3 linked regions of the Drosophila melanogaster genome follow. The gene in region 1 interacts genetically with each later gene. Each region holds a gene or a part of one and is shown on either strand. Other genes may lie near its edges. The genes, in order: Zw, ND-23 and AMPKalpha.

Region 1 (8,426 bases):
GTTGGCTAATCCCTGCCCTTTCGTCCTGTTTACAGCTACACACAGAACGGCCTGCTACACATGCTCGACCGCAATCGTCGCATAAAGAAGTGCCCGGAACGGTTTCAGGACACCAAAGAGCAGTTCGACATCATCGTCACTGTGGAAGAGCGCGTCTACGACCTGGTGGTGATGCACATGGAGTCCATGGAATCCGTGGACAACCGACCCGTGCACGTTCTCAACGTGGATGTGGTGGACAACGCTGAAGATGCGCTAATGGGCGCCTTTGTCATCACAGACATGATAAACATGGTATGATCATCTGTCGTCCATTCCCTCAATTCGCCCAACGATTCTTGTGCCTTTGCAGATGGCCAAGTCCACGGACCTGGACAACGACATCGACGAATTGATCCAGGAGTTCGAGGAGCGCCGCAAGCGGGTCATCCTGCACTCGGTGCTCTTCTACTGACGACCGACGTCTGCTAACAGTTCGTGTCCAGCTCCAGCACCAACACCAGACTCCCGTAGCCCCGACGCGCTCCAGCCGAGTCACTCGATCTTGTACCCCAGGGGCTGCGATCGCAGAGCATAGGACGTCGGGCATTGCGCGCAGCGCGTGCGGATCCTGGGTTCCGGATTGGTAGCCTAGCATATAAGAATACTGTAAATAGAGAGGGGCCATCGCTGCAGCGAAAGCACATCCAACAACGACCAGCACCCACACACTCGCATACTCCAAACACCTGATTCGTAATCCACATCAACACCACACATGCAAGCAACTGGCTAATGAATTGGAATATAACACACAACCAATGACGACCATTTCCACACGGCTGCCCCCCAAAACCCCTGTAGTAGTATGTGTACGTGTCCGTATTCCTTGTAATTTCGCCCGTCGACTGGGGGTCTTATCACAGGCTCTCGCTTCCCTCAGCTGGCGAAGGCGCCGACCATCTGACTCCGACCCGTTCTCCCGTTCGGCCGCTCTGCCGCTCTCTTCGCCCGGCTTTGAGTCCGATTCGGACTCAGATTCGGATTCGATTCACATAAAGTGAAATCTCGCATCGTGATTGTGTGAATGAGCATGCACGCCAGAGAGCCACACAGGGGCGGAACGGTCTGGGCCCTCGCGGGCAGGGGCCGCGTTTTTTAATTTTACACAGTTTTACCAATTGTTCAGACAGGGCAAACCCGACCGACCTTGGTTGGGGCTGTGCGTTTTAAACCAAAGGCAAAGGCCCGCAACGGGCGCTAGCTTGCAATAGAAAATAAACAACAGGGGAGTTGTGTTCACTAAGGATTGGAATAAAAGTGCACGCCAATTTATGCCGGTTTCTTGTTGACGGCCTGTGTCACATTTACCCTGCGACCTCAAACCTGCCTAGGTCTTCTCTTCGACGGAAATACCATTGATTACGTCTCATCCCACTGCTACCTCGGAGTTCACCTTGATCGGACGCTGAGTTGGAAAGCCCTTATCACGGCTCCTGGAAACTGAAAAAGCTGGACTGGGTTTTCCACTCAAGCAAACTCCATATGGCAACTAAGGCTCTCTTAATAAAAGCCATATCCAAGTGTGGGGAACAGAGTATTAGAGTAAGACAATCGGGAGCGGCACGACATGCATCTGGGCTACATGTGGTATGTGAGCAATAGAGTTATTGAAGGGGACTTAAAAGGTGTCCCATTGGGGTACCAAATAAACTTCCATAGCAGCCGATATGCCGACAGACTTAGCGCCCACTTAAACACGTTAGCGAATGATCTTGTCGACCCTATTTCCCTCCGATGTCTGAAGAGAATACATCCCCATGAACTCCTTACACGTAATATAGCATAATCTCTCCTCGGTACATTTGTATACACTATAATTAAGGAACAGAATCCATAATATCTTTTAAGCTACACATTAGGTTAACTTCAGAAGGAACTGATCGATTCCTACTGACTAATGAATAATAATAAATGATTTAAACTCTAAAAAGAAATGTTGACGTTTGCTCGTTTTCACTGACCAAATACGACGTGATTCTAGGTAGGATTAGAAATTGTAAGGGTGTTGTTTAGTAATGTGGGAATCATAATTCTAGCATAATTTCATCATTAAACTCATCAACGCATCAGATCAATGCTCTCAGATTAAACAGTTTTATTTCCATGTTATACTATGATATCGTATTATTTGTATATTTATGTGTTATCCATCAATTCCATTCACATGTAAATCCAGATCGAATGGGCCCCCGCGCGCACTGAATCCGCTCCTGTCTGCGATCAGCTGCGCAGTCGGGGTTACAAAGCGTCTGCTGCTTTAGCTGTTGTTGCTGGTGTGTTGGTGTTGTTGCCATTGGCAGTGCTTGCTTGGGCGTTTGTTTGCTGCGGCGGTTCGCGCCGCGCTTCAGTCAGTCAGGGAACGATCGTGCTTATCTTCATTACTACTACCGCTTCCACCGAGGCTTCGCGACTCCGTACCCGTACTCGCTTTGTTTTACGTTTGCGCTACTAGTTAGTGAATCCGACGACGACGACCTGCGCGTGCGATTAAAGCGCCGCAACTCTTTGTAATTACACAGCCAGAGCCGCAGAGGTTGCTCAAAATCCAGCGACTGGAGAAATCGTATATCGAGTTGGAAATCCGAATCGAAAGGCTTGCGTATACATAGTTGTCACACTTTTGCTTTTAAACAGAAAAATCCATTCACATTCGGGTCAAGATGGCAACGCAAAAGGAAGGTGAGTATCGCAGCTTTGGGCAATTGGTATCGAATTGGATTCCACACCGCGTACTGTTACCAATTCGATTTTCGGGCGCGTACTTGCCGCGATCACTGTCGCGCCAGGTGGACTGGCTTTCCAATCGGAATCCGATTGCGAGTGCGAGAGCCAGTGCCAGTGCCAGTGCCCGTGCCAGTGCGCCCTTCAAATGTGCTCTTCGCCTGGCACTGGGGGTCACCTACAAAAAGCAGAGGACGCGGACTCGGCCGACTGTCTTCTTATCACAGGAGAGGCCACACCGCTGCTCCGCTCCCGCACCCGCACCGCTCTCTATCATACTTTCATACTTCCACTCTCCACTACCACTGGCCACTCTCCACCTGTCACTCTTACTCTCACTCCTCCACGCCTACTACTCACTCCCCCAACTACCCATCCAGCCGAGCGATGACGTGTGGGCGCCGCTCTTGGCCATCGGACGGGCTTGGATCCGAGCGGCCAGCTAAAACAAACACTCGCTGCGTGCTCCAAGATTAGAACCCGGCAATAGCAATAACCTTTGGCGGCAGCGCGAACTCTCCAGTCCCCAGTCCCCAATCTCCGTTCTCCACTCTGTGGCAATGACATTGGAACGCATGCATGTGTACATTCTACGCACGGTTAATTAGCTGCCCACCTGCGTTCTACACGAGAAGCCTTTCCAAACAGAAACCAAAAAAAAAAAAAAGAAAACAAAAACAACAGCGGACAACAAATGCAAACTCGCTTGGCGTTAATAATATTCAAACGCGTTACCTTGCTCACCGCCTATTACTTTCTCCCTTCTCCACTCGCCCTCTACATTCGGCTGCTCTCCATTCTCCAATCTCCATTCTCCTTGCCCCAATGCCTTCGCTTCGTCTGTGTCAATGTCAAATGCGATGCGGCCGAGATTACAGTCGAGCTTCGATAAGTGAAACCAAGCTGAGTCAAGCAAAAATGCGAAGACTTGAGCAAGCAAGGCAAAACAAACGGGAAATTAAGACATATGGCAAACTCAAAAAAAAGGTTAAAGTCATTTATGTTCCTGCTAGGCAAACACCACTGTCGGCTTGTGACTCACAATCTCGGCATTTGAAGGAGCTCGCTAGCCTCTTAGTCACCATCCATCCATCCACCAGCACCATCCAACTCACTGGCTGTGTAATCTTTCGAAGCTCCTACAGCCGAAAAGTATGCATTACCGGCGTTCGCAGAGATCGGCCTCGGAATTAGGGTTAAATTCCAGCTCAACTCATATCTTCGGAGAGCCCAGGTAGCCCGCCGTAGAATCACGTGATTCACCGAGACCCATCCACTTCGACATTTAAACGACTCACAATGATTCTCAAAAACGAACGCAGTGCCCCATGATGTTTCCAGAAGCTCATATTATCGAAATCTATATTTTATGACACCGTGACAGTGCCTGCATTAGTGGCTCGCAACCCTTTTTAAACGACACACAATGATTCTCAAAAACGAACGCAGTGCCCCTCCTCCATTCATTTTCCAAAAGCTCATTATATCGAAATCTATGTTATGACACCGCGACAGTGCCTCCATTATTGGCTCACAACCTTTTTGAAACATTTTCCGAATGATTTTCCTATGACCTCTAAGATACGAACGTGCACACATTCAAAATCGGGGAGCTTTAGGTTTTCAAGATTTTGAGATTTTTGAACTTTTGAAAAAGTCTATCTACATACTCGTAGTTATTTTTAGAGATATACTACAGAGGTTTACTAAAGGCTAGTTACTAGTTTGCAAGAACAGTATCCCTAGTAGATCACATAGCAGCAGATCAAGTATATATCATCCATTAAGCATACAACACTGTAATCTCTTCCGATCTGTGCGGGAAGTGATGCCATCGTGGGTTCATCTGATCATCCGACCGATCGCATTCCCGCCACGCGATCGACTGATGCTGCCCGTTCCGAAGCCAAGTTTGGATATACGGTGAATAGTGATGTATGTACATACATACGTCCGGAGCACTTGGCTTGCACTTTGTGCCCAAGTTCGCCTCGCCGTCGACGTCGCTGCCGGGTTCATCGCTTACACCTTGTTAAAGTCGACCGCAGCGCGGCGATTTATTCGTTTTGTGCAACCGCATCGGAAGATACGCGCGTGCACCTGCTCCACCTTTTACACCTGGCCAAGCTTCCGCCACCTAACCCAGTTCCACCTGGCCCAGCCCACAGCTATCCGGGCATCAATTAGCGCCCGCTGCGGAGGTTGACCTCTGGCGGATTCTTTGGCCAGTCATCGGGATCGAATCGAATCGAATCGAATCGAATCGGATCGGATCGGATCGGAGTTGATTAGACAACGGACCCCGGTCTTATCGAGTGCTTATCGCTCCCCCTTCCCTTGACATTGAATAGGCCTTCAAATAGTCTGCATTCGGGCCCAGACCATCAGTTGCCTCCAGGCCCTCGGTGAGTCCTCACGCAGCTCATTCTGACCAACCAATCACCAACCATACGGAGTCGATGAGTCCCCCGGTGATCTATGCAAGCCAAAGGGCAAGGTCACTGAAAATTCCCGCACATCCTAAAGCTGATAGCATTTTTTTTGTTTTTCTCACTGTGCAACTAACAACTAAGAAGTAGAGAACCCCTATACCATTCTCACTTTATAGTTTAGCAGTAAAAGCAATGCATTTAAGGAAGCTATAACTATTTCTAGTTCATTTAGTTCCCTTTGATAAAGTTTTGACAGTTGAAAAAAGTTACTTAGTGAAAAAAACAAGTAGAAATTCCTGGATATCCACAGAGCCACAGAGTAATAGTCTTAAGTGGAATTCAAAGCCAGAGTAAGCCTAACCAGATCCGCCTTTCATATGTGCCCACAGATCACACCGCCCTGGATCTCATAATCAAGTCACTCAAGTCGCCTACAATGGTCTGCGAGGGAACCCACTTTGACGGCAAGATTCCGCACACGTTCGTCATCTTTGGGGCGTCGGGCGATCTGGCCAAGAAGAAGATCTACCCCACGCTCTGGTGGCTCTACCGCGATGACCTGCTGCCCAAGCCGACCAAGTTCTGCGGCTATGCCCGTTCCATGCTGACCGTCGATAGCATCAAGGAGCAGTGTCTGCCGTACATGAAGGTGCGTTCGGGATTTGGTCATAGGCCATTTGCATCGCATTAACCCAACCCATTGCCACACAGGTCCAGCCGCACGAGCAGAAGAAGTACGAGGAGTTCTGGGCCCTCAATGAGTACGTGTCCGGCAGATATGACGGACGCACTGGCTTCGAGCTGCTTAACCAGCAGCTGGAGATTATGGAGAACAAGAACAAGGCCAACCGCATCTTCTATCTGGCCCTGCCGCCCAGCGTCTTCGAGGAGGTGACTGTCAACATCAAGCAGATCTGCATGTCGGTCTGGTGAGTATAAGATCAAGATCAAGATCCAGATGCATTTAATTTGAAACCCGATACTTATGTACACCTATAACCCGTTCGCTTGCAGCGGTTGGAACCGCGTGATTATCGAGAAGCCTTTCGGCCGGGATGACGCCTCCTCGCAGGCGCTGAGCGACCATCTGGCCGGTCTGTTCCAGGAGGATCAGCTGTACCGCATCGATCACTACCTGGGCAAGGAGATGGTGCAGAACCTGATGACCATACGCTTCGGCAACAAGATCCTCAGCTCGACGTGGAACCGCGAGAACATCGCCTCCGTGCTGATCACGTTCAAGGAGCCCTTCGGCACGCAGGGTCGTGGCGGCTACTTCGACGAGTTCGGCATCATACGCGACGTGATGCAGAACCATCTGCTGCAGATCCTCTCGCTGGTGGCCATGGAGAAGCCGGTGAGCTGCCACCCGGACGACATTCGTGACGAGAAGGTCAAGGTGCTGAAGAGCATCGAGGCCCTGACGCTGGATGACATGGTGCTGGGCCAGTACCTGGGCAATCCGCAGGGTACAAACGATGATGCGCGCACGGGCTACGTGGAGGACCCCACCGTTAGCAACGATTCGAACACGCCCACCTACGCCCTCGGCGTGCTCAAGATCAACAACGAGCGCTGGCAGGGAGTGCCCTTCATCCTGCGCTGCGGCAAGGCGCTGAACGAGCGCAAGGCGGAGGTGCGTATCCAGTACCAGGACGTGCCCGGCGACATCTTCGAGGGCAATACGAAGCGCAACGAGCTGGTCATCCGCGTCCAGCCGGGCGAGGCCCTGTACTTTAAGATGATGACCAAGAGCCCCGGCATCACGTTCGACATCGAGGAGACGGAGCTGGACCTCACCTACGAGCACCGCTACAAGGACTCCTACCTGCCGGACGCGTACGAGCGTCTCATCCTCGACGTCTTCTGCGGCTCCCAGATGCACTTCGTCCGCTCGGACGAGCTGCGCGAGGCGTGGCGCATATTTACGCCCATTCTGCACCAGATCGAGAAGGAGCACATTCGGCCAATCACCTACCAGTACGGATCGCGCGGTCCCAAGGAGGCGGACCGCAAGTGCGAGGAGAACAATTTCAAGTACTCCGGCTCCTACAAGTGGCACGGCGGCAAGGCGGCCACGTCCAATCACTGAGCGTTTGGAGCACACCAATCCCCGGGCTGGGTTCGCAGGATACTCCTCTCTGTCCGCACGTACATGTACATACATACATATATATGTATATATACATATATGCATTCTTTGGTTATTTGTAATTCGGTCTGTACAAGATTTTTTTTTATTAAATATACAAAATAGTGTTTAGCTGGAGCAGAACGATCTTCTAACTCATAATCCCGGCTAGTTCGATGTGTATGTGGTGATGCCGATCGCATGCGTGTCGATGTACATAAATAGATCCTTCATAGGATGGCAGATGGGTGGCAAACGTAACCCTACGGTTGTAATACTAACTAAATAATGAGTATGCTTCTGGTCAGTGGGCTTCGGTGCTGAGCCGGGCTAGTTACTAGCGGCTCCTCTCGAATATAGATTTACAGGCGAACTACAACAAGAGCGGGCAGCAATCTTCCCGAGAGATTTCAGCGCACGGGTGGCGGCTTGATGTACCCATCGCCGCAGGGCGCGCCTATTGCGCTCATGGACACATACTGATTGGTTACGTACGCATCGGCCTGGGGCACGGGCTGTGGTCTGGGCACCTCCTGCAGCTCTATCTCCGGCCACCTCGTGGGCTCCTCTTCCGCAAATGTCACGGTTTTGCGCACTGTGCCGTAGAACTTCTCCGGCGGAACATTGGCGGGATAGAACAGGCGTACATCGCCAAGTGGATTTGCTGTGGGCTCTTCGCTCATCACTGGCAGTTCAACCCGGATGTCCGCCATTTGGCGCAGCTTCTGAATGGCCAAGACGAGCGACCCAAGCACCAGCAGAGCGATGGTGCCCTCCACGTACCGCAAGATCTTTGGCTTCTCGGGCACCTCGCTGTCACCGGACCACCAGCGCATCCCGGTGGTCAGGCCGTCGCTGTAGTTGGCCGCCACAGCCATCCGGATCACGCCCTGGATTCCGGAGAAATTGTACGCCGTCTCGCGGGCGTAGGTCGTCTCGATGGAGGAACTATCGTCGCAGGCATCGTGCACTTTGCTGGATAGCTTGCACCAATAGACTATGTAGCCAGTGAAGTTTCCCAGCTCCTCCGGCCCTTGCCAGCTGAGTCTGGAGCTCGTCTTATTGTAGCTCTCCAGGTAAATCCGTCGATCCCGGATGTC
Region 2 (4,337 bases), on another chromosome or scaffold:
CAAGGTGAGGCCGTAATCCGGGATTCAGAACCATTACCTGGTCACGTGATGGTCATATTGAATCCTTATGCTACTTGCTACTTGAATTCACAAACTATGTTTTACCATTTTCAGTCCGACGTGGATCGCGTGCTCATCTATGTGACGCTCTACATAACAGAGTGCCTCAAGAAGCTCAATCGCTCCACGAGCAAGGCCCAGGGACAGCAGGACATGTACAGCCTGGCCATCTCCAAGTTCGACATTCCCGGCGATGCTGGCTTCCCATTGAACGCCGTCTATGCCAAGCCGCAAACGGCCCAGGATGCGGATCTGATGCGCCAGTACCTGCTGCAGCTGCGCCACGAAACCGGCAACCGGGTACTGGAGAAGGTCTTCAACACCGAGGATGGCAAGCCCAATAAATGGTGGACCTGCTTCGCGAAGAAAAAGTTCATGGAGAAGAGTCTGGCTGGACCTGGACAATAAACAGCTATCCACAATATCTGGTATCTTGTTTTGCTTCTACGACGGGTAAAAATACCCTTCAATTAAGTTTTACTCGCAGCGTGGTCCTAATTTGCAGTATCACTGCCAACGTGTCACAATTAATTAAATTCATTAACCACTAAATAAATTATTTGAATTTGTAAGCCTTTCTGTTTTAATTAATTTATGTAAATTCTTTTTACAAAATTAACGTGGATAAAACTGCAAGTAACTTTCATAAATAATATCTGTTTCTAATAACTGACCAGCAAATGGAAGTTATTGCCTATAATTTGTGTAATCAAAATCGGAATAGTAAAGTATTAACTAAGTTTCATTTATTTGTAGTCGCTCCGTCATTGGAAAAAATGCTTTCTATTGGCCTGTTAATTAAATAAACTTTGTCATCTGTCGAATACAACGTGGAACTCTTTGAATATAAATAATTTATATTTATTAGGCCAGTTGAGTAATTAAAAAAAATACAACTGACTTTCGCTTAAGACGAAGCCACAGCAACGATCTTTAATTGGAAAATCGTTCTAAACAAGGAATTCTAGGGGTACAAGCAACTTTAACGATAGAGATGGTCGGCCTGCAAGTTAGAGGCAATCTCGGACTCCCACTTGTCGCCGTTGCAGAGAAGCTTCTCCTTGTTGTACAGCAGCTCCTCGTGCGTCTCCGTGGAGAACTCGAAGTTGGGTCCCTCGACGATGGCGTCCACGGGACAGGCTTCCTACGCGGGGGGACAAAAAGATGCAATTAGTTTCTAGTAAATTGTGGCGCCACTTTGCTCCTCCTCACCTGACAGAATCCGCAGTAGATGCACTTGGTCATGTCGATATCGTAGCGTGTGGTACGTCTGCTGCCATCCGCGCGCTCCTCCGCTTCGATGGTGATCGCCTGTGCGGGGCAAATAGCCTCGCATAGCTTGCAAGCGATGCAGCGCTCCTCTCCACTGGGATAACGACGAAGGGCATGTTCTCCGCGGAATCGCGGGCTCAGTGGTCCCTTTTCAAAGGGATAGTTGATAGTGGCCGGTTCCTTGAAGATGTGCGCCAGGGTGACGGCAAATCCACGTAAGAGTTCACCGAAGAACATGGTGGATGCAGCACGGTCCGTGATGTCGGCAAACTCCATGCTCAGTTCCTTGTTGTTTACATACACATAGCCCTTGGGAACCTCGACGATATCTTTGGGTTCTGCTCGCTGGGCGGCCAGCAGCCGGGCTCCATGGCTGCCAAACAGGCGCTGTCCTGTGGGGAGAACATTTTACCATTAAATAACATGCTTAAGTCGAAAAGTTATACTGAATTAAGCGAGTTTAGACTTTTGTTTTGGTATGACATAAGCTTACATAACCTCACTCGCCGCGATTTCCACGAAAATGGGAAATTTCCCGGAAAACAACGGATGTGAGGGGATGGGTCGCCACCTACCGTTGCGCGATGCGGTGAAAATTCGCATAGTTAGCGACATTTTTGCGACCAAATTAAACTAAAATTGCCAAAGAAGTTGTTTTGCTATTGAATTTGCCCGAACAAATTAGAGCTGGGTTTCTTTCGATTACCCACATAAATTCAATGCTCAAATATCGTATTCAAATATATCGTAGTTTCTTAATGACATAAACCAAAAATAAAATATGAGATATAAAATATAAATAATGTAACAAAGAATTAAATATTCGTGTAAAAATAATAAATAATATTAACAAATAATCCAGAAAGACTGTGAGAAAAAAAAGAAAACATTTTTTTTATACGAATACCCCTAATAAAAACCTTAAAGCTTCGATAATGGCACTATCGATATAAATTCGCACTTTTACACTTTTCAACATTGACTTTGAAAATCCCCACCACTACAATTTACAGTTTAACTTTTCCCGCTACGCGGAATTGTGAAATTTTTCATTGTTTATGTCGGAAAATGGATCAGGAGGTTATGGATTTCTTTGACTTCTCGAAGGAGTTGAAGCGCGTGGCCGCCGCCCCGCAAGGCTACATCAGCAGCGATCCGAGGCTAATGGCCACGAAGTTCAAATCATCCGAAGTGCCCAACCGCGAGTTGATCGGCACCGACTATGTCAGCAAAATCGTCGCCAAGGAAAAGTGTCTCCTGAACGGGGTGAGAACTGGAAGCTTGCGTCAGCACTTCTGTTTGTTTATGTGTAATTCGATCCAGACGCTGCTCAACGAACAGCCTCAAGGCAAACGCATTCGAACGCTGGACGATTTGGACACCGACGATGAGGGGGAAGAGACCGAAATTCGCCGGGATGACGAGTACTACAAGAAGTTCAGATTCAATCTGAATCGCGACAAGAACTTGTCCATCTACGCCAAGCGCGAGGAAATATTGGCGGCCATCAATGCTCATCCGGTAGTCATTATTAAGGGCGAAACAGGATGTGGCAAGACCACGCAGGTGAGCAAAACTTAAATAAAATCCTAACTTTTTTATTAAGTCTATATTTTAATAAAGCCAACGCAAGCGAATTATAATTAAACCTTTTATCCTCGACTTTTGAAATTCAAATCCAAACTAGTCGAGAGTATTTAATATTATATAATAAATAATAATCTTCAATATACTTTTCAACTCTTTATATAAGAATAGCAAAGCCTAGGAAACTTATATCCTATATAGTTATATATCCTATCCTACATACTTAAATACAATGAATATTTTATGTGCAACAGATAAACAAGATCACATCGCGCAAAAATGCTAGTTATTTAATTATGTAAAAGTTTTATAAACTAACTCAAGTATCCAAAATAGCTTTGAGTTCTTCTTCCGTGACCTCCTCGCTTTCACCCACTTCCATTTCCTCGTCGTCACTAAACTCAATCATCTCATACTCTTGCTGCACGTCTGCTGGAAGTTCCCTCTGAAAAACGGTGGCCGAGGACATGCGGCGTTGATAAGTCTCGTTGACCTCCAGCTGCACTTCTAGTTCATCCGCCTGGTTTTGCGGCTCCCGTTCCTCGACGCCGTACATGGCCTTGTTCCGCACCCTCTGGCGCACTTCCAACTGGTTGCCTGTAGATGTTGTGGTACAATTCTCATCTGGAGTACTCTTTCTAGCTCCTAGAACACTTTGGATATCGGCAAAGACTTCTCGCAAATGGCCGAATATTTGAGAGGGCGGCAAAGCGTGCTCATGACCAGCCGCCAATTGCTTCTTTTGGGCATTGTATGCCGCTTCCAGTTCACACAATGGCTGGCTTGCCTGGTCCAGTGCTCGCAGACCCTCCAGTTCGTATGTGAGACTGACGCCGTTCGCACGCTGTTGCTTCTGCATCAAGGCACTCTGCCTCTGTTCCTTGGCACCCGCTACGGTCTCCACACGGTCGTAGTCCACCAGATTGTCCAACCCCTGGCAATAGTCGAGCGCGGTGAAGCGGAAGGCCTGCTCCTGGGTCAGGCGCCACAGCATGTAGGCGATCTGATGAGTGTCCTTCCGCTCCGGACTATCCTTGCGCAGATCTAGAGCGTAGTCTGTTAGTTCTTGCCAAGTGCGCGGTGAGACCTCGATCTTAATAAAGTTGTGCGTGGGCTGCTTGTAGTAGATTACGTAGAGCAGAAAGAAACCTCCGATCCTTTGAGCGCGAGATGCCGGGAAAACGTCCCCGGTGGTGCGTCGGGAGCACGACAGTCGCTTGGCCACATGCAGGGCCGCCAGTGTGGTGGCTATCACCTCTGTGTGGTTCGTCTGGGCAGTGAAGAGGTGCTGCAGCTGCAGTTCTCGCCAGCACCGGCAGAACACCTCGAACTCGCAGTTTTCGCCATCATTAACCAATCGCTGAAATCGTTGCACCAGCTCCCAGCAGTCGTCAAAGATATTCAGCTCCATTCTGAAT
Region 3 (6,486 bases), about 18 Mb from region 1:
CAGCCAGCCGCTGCGTCCGCGAAGAAACGGGAGCCAGCTGCAGAAGACCCTTCAGCATATCGCTCCATGGCCGAGTTATCAATTGCAGTTGGATTAGGCGAGATAAGAGAAACGTGAGTCACACACACACACACATTTTGTAGCCTCCCAAGTGACCACCCCGCAATCTCAGAGTAGACGGAATTTAAAACTACTAATATAGCAGACACTGGCTACAATTGTATGAATCACTCACTATATGAAAACTGCAGTATTCTGCCGCAAATCAATCTCGATAGTCACCCCGGCAGCCGCAGGTCCATCTCCCCTTTTTAGCTATGACGTTATGCCTATAAGTGGCATAATCTGGCATACTCGACGTTGTGGTGACGTTATGGGGATGACAATGAGGTGTTTTGTTAGTTCCGAGCAAAGCACTCCAATTTTAAAGTCTGTTCAACCACCACCTATGTATTATGCCTTGTTCCGCAGGTGATCAACAGCGACAACCCGGTGATCGTGAACTTCCACGCCGAGTGGTGCGACCCCTGTAAGATACTCACGCCCAAGATGCTCGAGCTGCTTGAGAACTCGAACGAGATCGACCTGGCGGTCATCGATGTGGAGACGAACCTGGATCTCGTCGAGACCTTCGAGGTGAAGGCCGTGCCCGCTGTTCTGGCCTTCAGGAACGGCGTCGTAGTGGACAAGTTCATTGGTCTGGTCGACGCCAACAGCATCGAGACCCTAATCGACAAACTGAAGCGGAAGCAACAGCAGAAGCAGTAGTGAGCTGGAGCGGCGATGCGATGCACAGGTGGATTAGATCAGGGATGCTATGATTTTACACACGAAACGGGAGACTGGAACTGCGATATGAAGCCCAATGCCGAGGCAGAATTTGCAATCATCGATGCTGAAAGAATGTGCACAACATACCTTAATATGCAATAAAACTAACTTTAATTATGGCTACTCTTAATTCACACTTCGTCCACAATCGATTTAGAATATTAATGGATCGCTTTATTGTTTGGTTGGTTCAGATACAGATACATAAAACTTGGTCCACATCTGGTTGTTATCTGACAGCTTCCCCAGACGAGGTTCCAATTACAATTCGTTAGGCATAATACAAATACATCCACGTGCACATGCGGTTTGGATAATAACTCAACTTGCTTATAAACATAAATCGAAATAGAAACAGAACAGAACAGAAACGGATCGAAGCCCGCCGACCGGGCGGAACCTACAGACTTAGACTAACCGGAAGCGGAAATCGATACGGCAAAGCGGGTAACGGTAGCGTAGCGGCAACGGCGGTTGGCGGTGTCCGAGTTCAATAACATTTTATGTGGATTACACAGCCGCACAAAGAAAAGCTGGAGTCGGAGTCCCAAGCTCTTGTTCGTCGTCTAGTAGCAGGCCATTTTTAAAATCTATTCCCAAATCCTGCTACCGATAATTGCACATTGGGTTTCCGATTAAAATCAAAAGGGTTTGGGACGAATGCAAGAACTTAGTCATGTGGTTAAGGCCAGACTCCGGGATCCGCGGAGCCCGAAACTCCCCCCAGCTTTCCTTTGTGGGACTGTGTCTTCCGGGTAATGGTCAATCCTCAGGACTGTCCGAGTGCGGATCGCCAGCCGAGAAGATCCCATCCGGTCCGCTGCGGCCGATGGCGGTCACCTCATCCTTAGCGAGCCAGTTGAATGATCAGGGCGGCGCACATTTCGAAAAACTCCATGGTGTGGTGGCCGGTCGGCTGCAGCGGCATCACCCCGGACACGCTAAGCGGCGGCGGAGTAAGGCTCTCCATGATGACGTCGTCGCCCTGCTCGACCTCGTCGTTGGTCAGCGACTTGAAGTCGAGCAGATAGCTCTTGGCGTCCACCTGGTACAGCTGCAGTGACATCTTCGAGAACTTGCCGGTCTTCACGTTCTGCCTGCGCACCCGAACGTGGTACGGATTGATGATCTTCCACTCGTAGCTGAGTGCCTTCATCGCTCGGTATACCTCGAGCATTATGTCGTTGGGCTTGCTCTGCGACCGGATGCCCAGATGCCACTTGGCGCGCTTGATGGGAGTGCCGCCACGTGCGGTTTTCTCCGGGAAGGCTCCGCCGCCAGATGTCTGCACGGACATGGCCAGTTGACGGTCCCGCATCGGCGCAATCCGCTCCGGATGCGGTCGAATGGGTATGGTGCTGCTAGGCGTGCCTCCAGCCACTGGTGGCACTGGTGTGGCGGTGCCCGAGCTGGCTGAGGTACCTCCGCCAACGGTCACGGTGGCCAGAGGGGCTTGGTGGTCCATCGATGATTGGGGAACGGGCGGAGGCGGCGGCGGTGGTGGAGAGCCGGCCACAAAGAAGTTGTTGATCTCGTTTATTTGGTTGGCCGCGTCGTCGGCGAAGCGTTTGTTGTCGATGATCAGATGGTAAGCGATGGCCAGCTGATCGTGCGGATCGCCGCTGAGCAGCGAGTTGTGCACCTCGGTCTCCTTGACGCCGAACTTGGTGCAGACCTCTGCCACAGCGTAGGTGTCGATCACATTGGAGTCCTGCTCGATGGACGAGGGGAAGAGGTAGGCCGGGAGGTCCTTTTGGAACCACTCGTGCTTCTTGATTTCCTCGATGTTGGCCCGCTTGAGCGGGTCCACTTGCAGCATCTGACAGACCAGATTGACCACTTGTTTGTTGAGGTACTCGGGAATGGGGAAAATGCCCGACTTGATCTTGCGAAACAGCGTAGGCACATGCTCGTCGTCAAAGGGCAGCGTCCCGCACAGCAGGGCGTACAGGATGACGCCGCACGACCAGATGTCCACCTCGGGACCGGCGTACAGCTTGCCGGAAATCACCTCGGGCGCCGCGTAGTTGGGCGAGCCGCACGAGGTGCGCAGGAACTCGCCGTCCAGCATCATGTTCGAGAGCCCAAAGTCGGCGATCTTCACGTGCATGTTGTGGTCGAGCAGCAGGTTCTCTGGCTTCAGGTCTCGATGCACGATCATGTGCCGGTGGCAATAGTCCACGCCAGAGATAATCTGCTGAAAAAAGCGGCGCGCTTGGTGCTCCTGCAGCTTGCCGTGCTTCACAATATAGTCGAACAGCTCCCCGCCGCTCACGTACTCCATGATCATGAAGATGTCCGACGGCGTCGATATGACCTTCGGAGAGTTACGGAAAGGTTAGCAAGCACGTTTATATCAGCTGATGACTGCAGCCGTCCCTAGGTTCCCCCAAGCCCTGCCTAACCTAATTGGTAACTGATCCAATCCGAAAATCGAGGGAAAATGTGCTTGTAAAACCAAAGCAGACCCCGTACATATTCCTTTTATAAACTTTCCTTCCAAACTTTTTGCTCATTTAAGTTGGGCTTCTATGTCTGTTGCGAATGTCTAGCCAGTGGCCCAGTTTCTAGATATGCATTTGCCTTCCGCAACAAAATTCGGATGACTAGGCATGACCGTGTACTTTATAGATAAACAAACCTCCAAAATGTTGTTATAGAAAAGCTATTCCCCCTTCGGGCATATCCTGCCTTTTTGTTTATTAAACTGCGGCTTGATTGTTTGTTATTAGTAGCTGGCCAGCGTAATTGGAAGAGGAAACCAGTAACCCAGTTTCCTGGAAAGCTTGGACTTAGAAAGTCTAAGCTTGGAGCCATGAACTCACCTGGTACAACTTGATGATGTGCGGATGGCGGAAGAGCTTTAGGTTCTGGATCTCACGCCGGATCTTGCCCACGACGTCCAGGCTTTTGATCTTCTGACGATTGAGTATCTTGACGGCCACCTTGACGCGTGTGATCTGGTGCTCGCCGATCTTCACCTTGCCGAAGGTTCCCGTTCCCAGGGTTGCGCCCAGTAGGTAGTGCCCAATCTTGACCAGCGGCTGGCCATTGGCGCTGCCGGCGGCCACCGCCTCAGCGGCCGCAGCCCTCATCTGGGGCATCTCGAGCAGGTAGCTCCTTGTTGGACTGGGGGTGCTCCACTGCTCCGCTGCGGATGGGCGCGGAGAGGGGAGCGGTGGTAAGGTCGTTATCGGTTATTGCGTAGTGTACTCCGCTGAATCAACAGAATAGAATAGAATAGAGCAGCCACTCACGTTACGTTCTTCCTGCCAGCCGTGCCACCTCGCCCGGATACGGATTCGGATGTCAAAGTGGTTGTGGATGTGTCAAGGGCGGTTGAATTGATACTGATTTCCTGGATTTCTATTCGAGCGCGGCAACGAGACTCTCCTTTACGCTTGGGTTTTCTTCGCGTTTTGCTTATTTAATTGACATTGGAAGGCGCTGCCACTTCCAACAACACTGCCTTCCAACAACACTCGTTCCAGCAGCTGATTCGCGCCCTCTCTTTCTCTCTCTCTCTCGCCTTCCAGTGGCTATCGATAAGTGGCGGCCAGTGATGCCAGGTAGTTCCGCAGTGGCGCGCAATTTAAAACCATCTTGCCACTTATGCTGAATTTATAAAAAGCAATATTAATGGCTTTACTCAACCACATTTGAAATAGTTAAGCTCGCAAAAAAACTAGTAGGTGTGCGTTGTCGAAACTCTCTGATGTCCAATTGAAAGGGAAAAGATGCCCGTTTTGTGATTTAAATACACATTTATTACACCAAGTTGATTTTTTGGATCCACTCCACGCGCATAGAAGGTCAGAAAGATACCTCTTTTGTGCAACGTTAAGTGTAGATCAACATTCAATATAGATTATCAAGAATACTGTCCTAAAATTCTCAAAGATGTATGGTAAAATTCAGTTTGTTCACAAATATGCGTGTATATGTCAAGCTTTGTATTTTTCTTTTTTAGTTTCTGTAGTAAAAGGCTGCCACAGCTTCTTGTTTTCACCTGTCAAATAGAACCGCTTAATGACTAGTATATAATGTTCGTGTAAATGCGTTTTTACGACGATCAGGATTCAGCTAAGCGAAAATTGAACATTTTAACTATTTATTTGCTTAGCCTAACATCAATTTACAACAATAGTATATCGTCAACTTAAGCTCTGATCCGCACTGTACTGTGCTGACTGTACCTCAAATCTGTATCATCTCTCTCGCTCTCTTTCGCTGAGGCTGCATCGCACCATCTCGCTCGCAGACTCAAGAATTCAATTTGTGTTCGTTTATTATAAACTTTAGGATTTAAGGTTTAAATACATGTATTTCTTTCGTGCTTTAAGTTTATTCTGAAAAAAAAGTCACCTTAACTATGATATTGCTACGAGACTAGGATTTACGTTTAGAGATTATCAATACTAAAAAAAAAAAATTTCGGACCTCTGGGTCTCACGGGTATGCTGGTTGGAAAATTTCAAGTTTATTTCATATTCAGCCATCTTCTTGTCGGGTTTCTGTTGGAAGTTTACCCGAAGTTCGGGTATTTATACATCATTCATATATATTATCTAATATATAGGTGTTTGTATAGTGTGGTGTTCTTGTTCTTGGTTTGTTGGTAGTACATCAATAATTTATTTATAATGTAGTAAAAAGCAAGTGACGCGAACGAACCCTCGCTGTCGACGTTCCTTATAAGTCTACAAATTAACCATCTATTCAGAGCAAGCGTCTTCTGTCTGTTGTCATAAGGTTCGTCTCTCTATATATCCGTGTGTGTAACGTCCGTCTCACAGTGTCCGGCCGGAATAGTCGCCACATCTTGGGGCTTTGCATCCGTGCAGTTACTCAATTCATTTACAATTCGCAATCCACCAAGAGCGAAGATTGTTTCGTGAACTGGAGATGAGTGCAGGAAAGTTATATTTGAGTTTTGGTTGCGTTCTCGTCTCGTCTTGAGTGGCTGATGGTTTGCGTTTGGGGCTTTGTATGTTGCTCATACAAACTCATTGGAATTTTTTCTTATGTGGTTCGATCAAGGATTCGACTCCGACCGTCTTTATGTGTGTGTGTGTGTGTGTTGTTGGGGATTGTGTAGGCTGGTTAACTTTGGAACATTATTTCGTACATCTTAATACACGCTATGCATCTTTAATTTGCTCTGCTTAATTCTGTGATAGTGTTCTTGTGGTACTGCCTATGTCTGCCGTGCACCTTTGCTTTGCCTCTTGCTGCCAATGCTTGGATTTGCTATTCCTGGCCAGTGTGGTTTCGGGTTATATCGTATGGTCTCAACCAATCCTGGCTCTCTGATATGGATATACATATATGGATAGCAAGATACATACATACACATAGAGAGCGAGAGAGTTGGCTACTATTGGATATCGCTTCTGGGTAATATCTCCTCTTCCCTCCTCCGATTGCACTCAATCTATTTCTACTCGCTTCTACCATGTGGCCACCGCCTCCGCCGCCTCCGTCTGCACTCACTTTAAGCTTGTGGACTGGCTCTGTTCATGGTAACAGGAAGAGAGACCGGAACCGTGACATATACCGGAACATACACGGCCAAAACAGCTGGGTAGGCCGAAAGTGACGCAGCTGGCGAGGAGATGGAAACAACTGATGGATGGGCGGGGGCTGGAAAGTAGA

Evidence for each region.
Region 2: of Zw (region 1) and ND-23, changing one suppresses a phenotype caused by changing the other (phenotypic suppression), as found in Drosophila melanogaster (one study listed by BioGRID).
Region 3: of Zw (region 1) and AMPKalpha, changing one suppresses a phenotype caused by changing the other (phenotypic suppression), as found in Drosophila melanogaster (one study listed by BioGRID).

What each region holds. Positions count from the first base shown.
Region 1 is NC_004354.4:19,664,900-19,673,325, forward strand, and holds Zw (zwischenferment), read left to right. Parts: upstream 1-2,352; 5' UTR 2,353-2,702; coding exon 2,703-2,721; exon of another isoform or gene 2,722-2,847; intron 2,848-4,822; exon of another isoform or gene 4,823-5,168; intron 5,169-5,440; exon of another isoform or gene 5,441-5,514; intron 5,515-5,584; coding exon 5,585-5,844; intron 5,845-5,906; coding exon 5,907-6,124; intron 6,125-6,209; coding exon 6,210-7,287; 3' UTR 7,288-7,454; downstream 7,455-8,426. Other genes in the region: Ssu72 CTD phosphatase, read left to right, coding at 36-294, 353-454; et (eye transformer), read right to left, coding at 7,737-8,426. UniProt on the Drosophila melanogaster protein: Cytosolic glucose-6-phosphate dehydrogenase that catalyzes the first and rate-limiting step of the oxidative branch within the pentose phosphate pathway/shunt, an alternative route to glycolysis for the dissimilation of carbohydrates and a major source of reducing power and metabolic intermediates for fatty acid and nucleic acid biosynthetic processes.
Region 2 is NT_033777.3:15,835,083-15,839,419, forward strand, and holds ND-23 (NADH dehydrogenase (ubiquinone) 23 kDa subunit), read right to left. Parts: upstream 2,036-4,337; 5' UTR 1,948-2,035; coding exon 1,908-1,947; intron 1,725-1,907; coding exon 1,273-1,724; exon of another isoform or gene 1,205-1,272; coding exon 1,043-1,204; 3' UTR 966-1,042; downstream 1-965. Other genes in the region: Arpc3A (Actin-related protein 2/3 complex, subunit 3A), read left to right, coding at 1-4, 115-468; spn-E (spindle E), read left to right, coding at 2,401-2,598, 2,656-2,898; Pbp45 (PSEA-binding protein 45kD), read right to left, coding at 3,239-4,330. UniProt on the Drosophila melanogaster protein: Core subunit of the mitochondrial membrane respiratory chain NADH dehydrogenase (Complex I) that is believed to belong to the minimal assembly required for catalysis. Complex I functions in the transfer of electrons from NADH to the respiratory chain.
Region 3 is NC_004354.4:1,373,358-1,379,843, reverse strand, and holds AMPKalpha (AMP-activated protein kinase alpha subunit), read right to left. Parts: upstream 4,309-6,486; 5' UTR 4,089-4,308; exon of another isoform or gene 3,975-4,088; 5' UTR 3,936-3,974; coding exon 3,657-3,935; intron 3,149-3,656; coding exon 1,679-3,148; 3' UTR 948-1,678; downstream 1-947. Other genes in the region: CG3719 (uncharacterized protein), read left to right, coding at 472-768.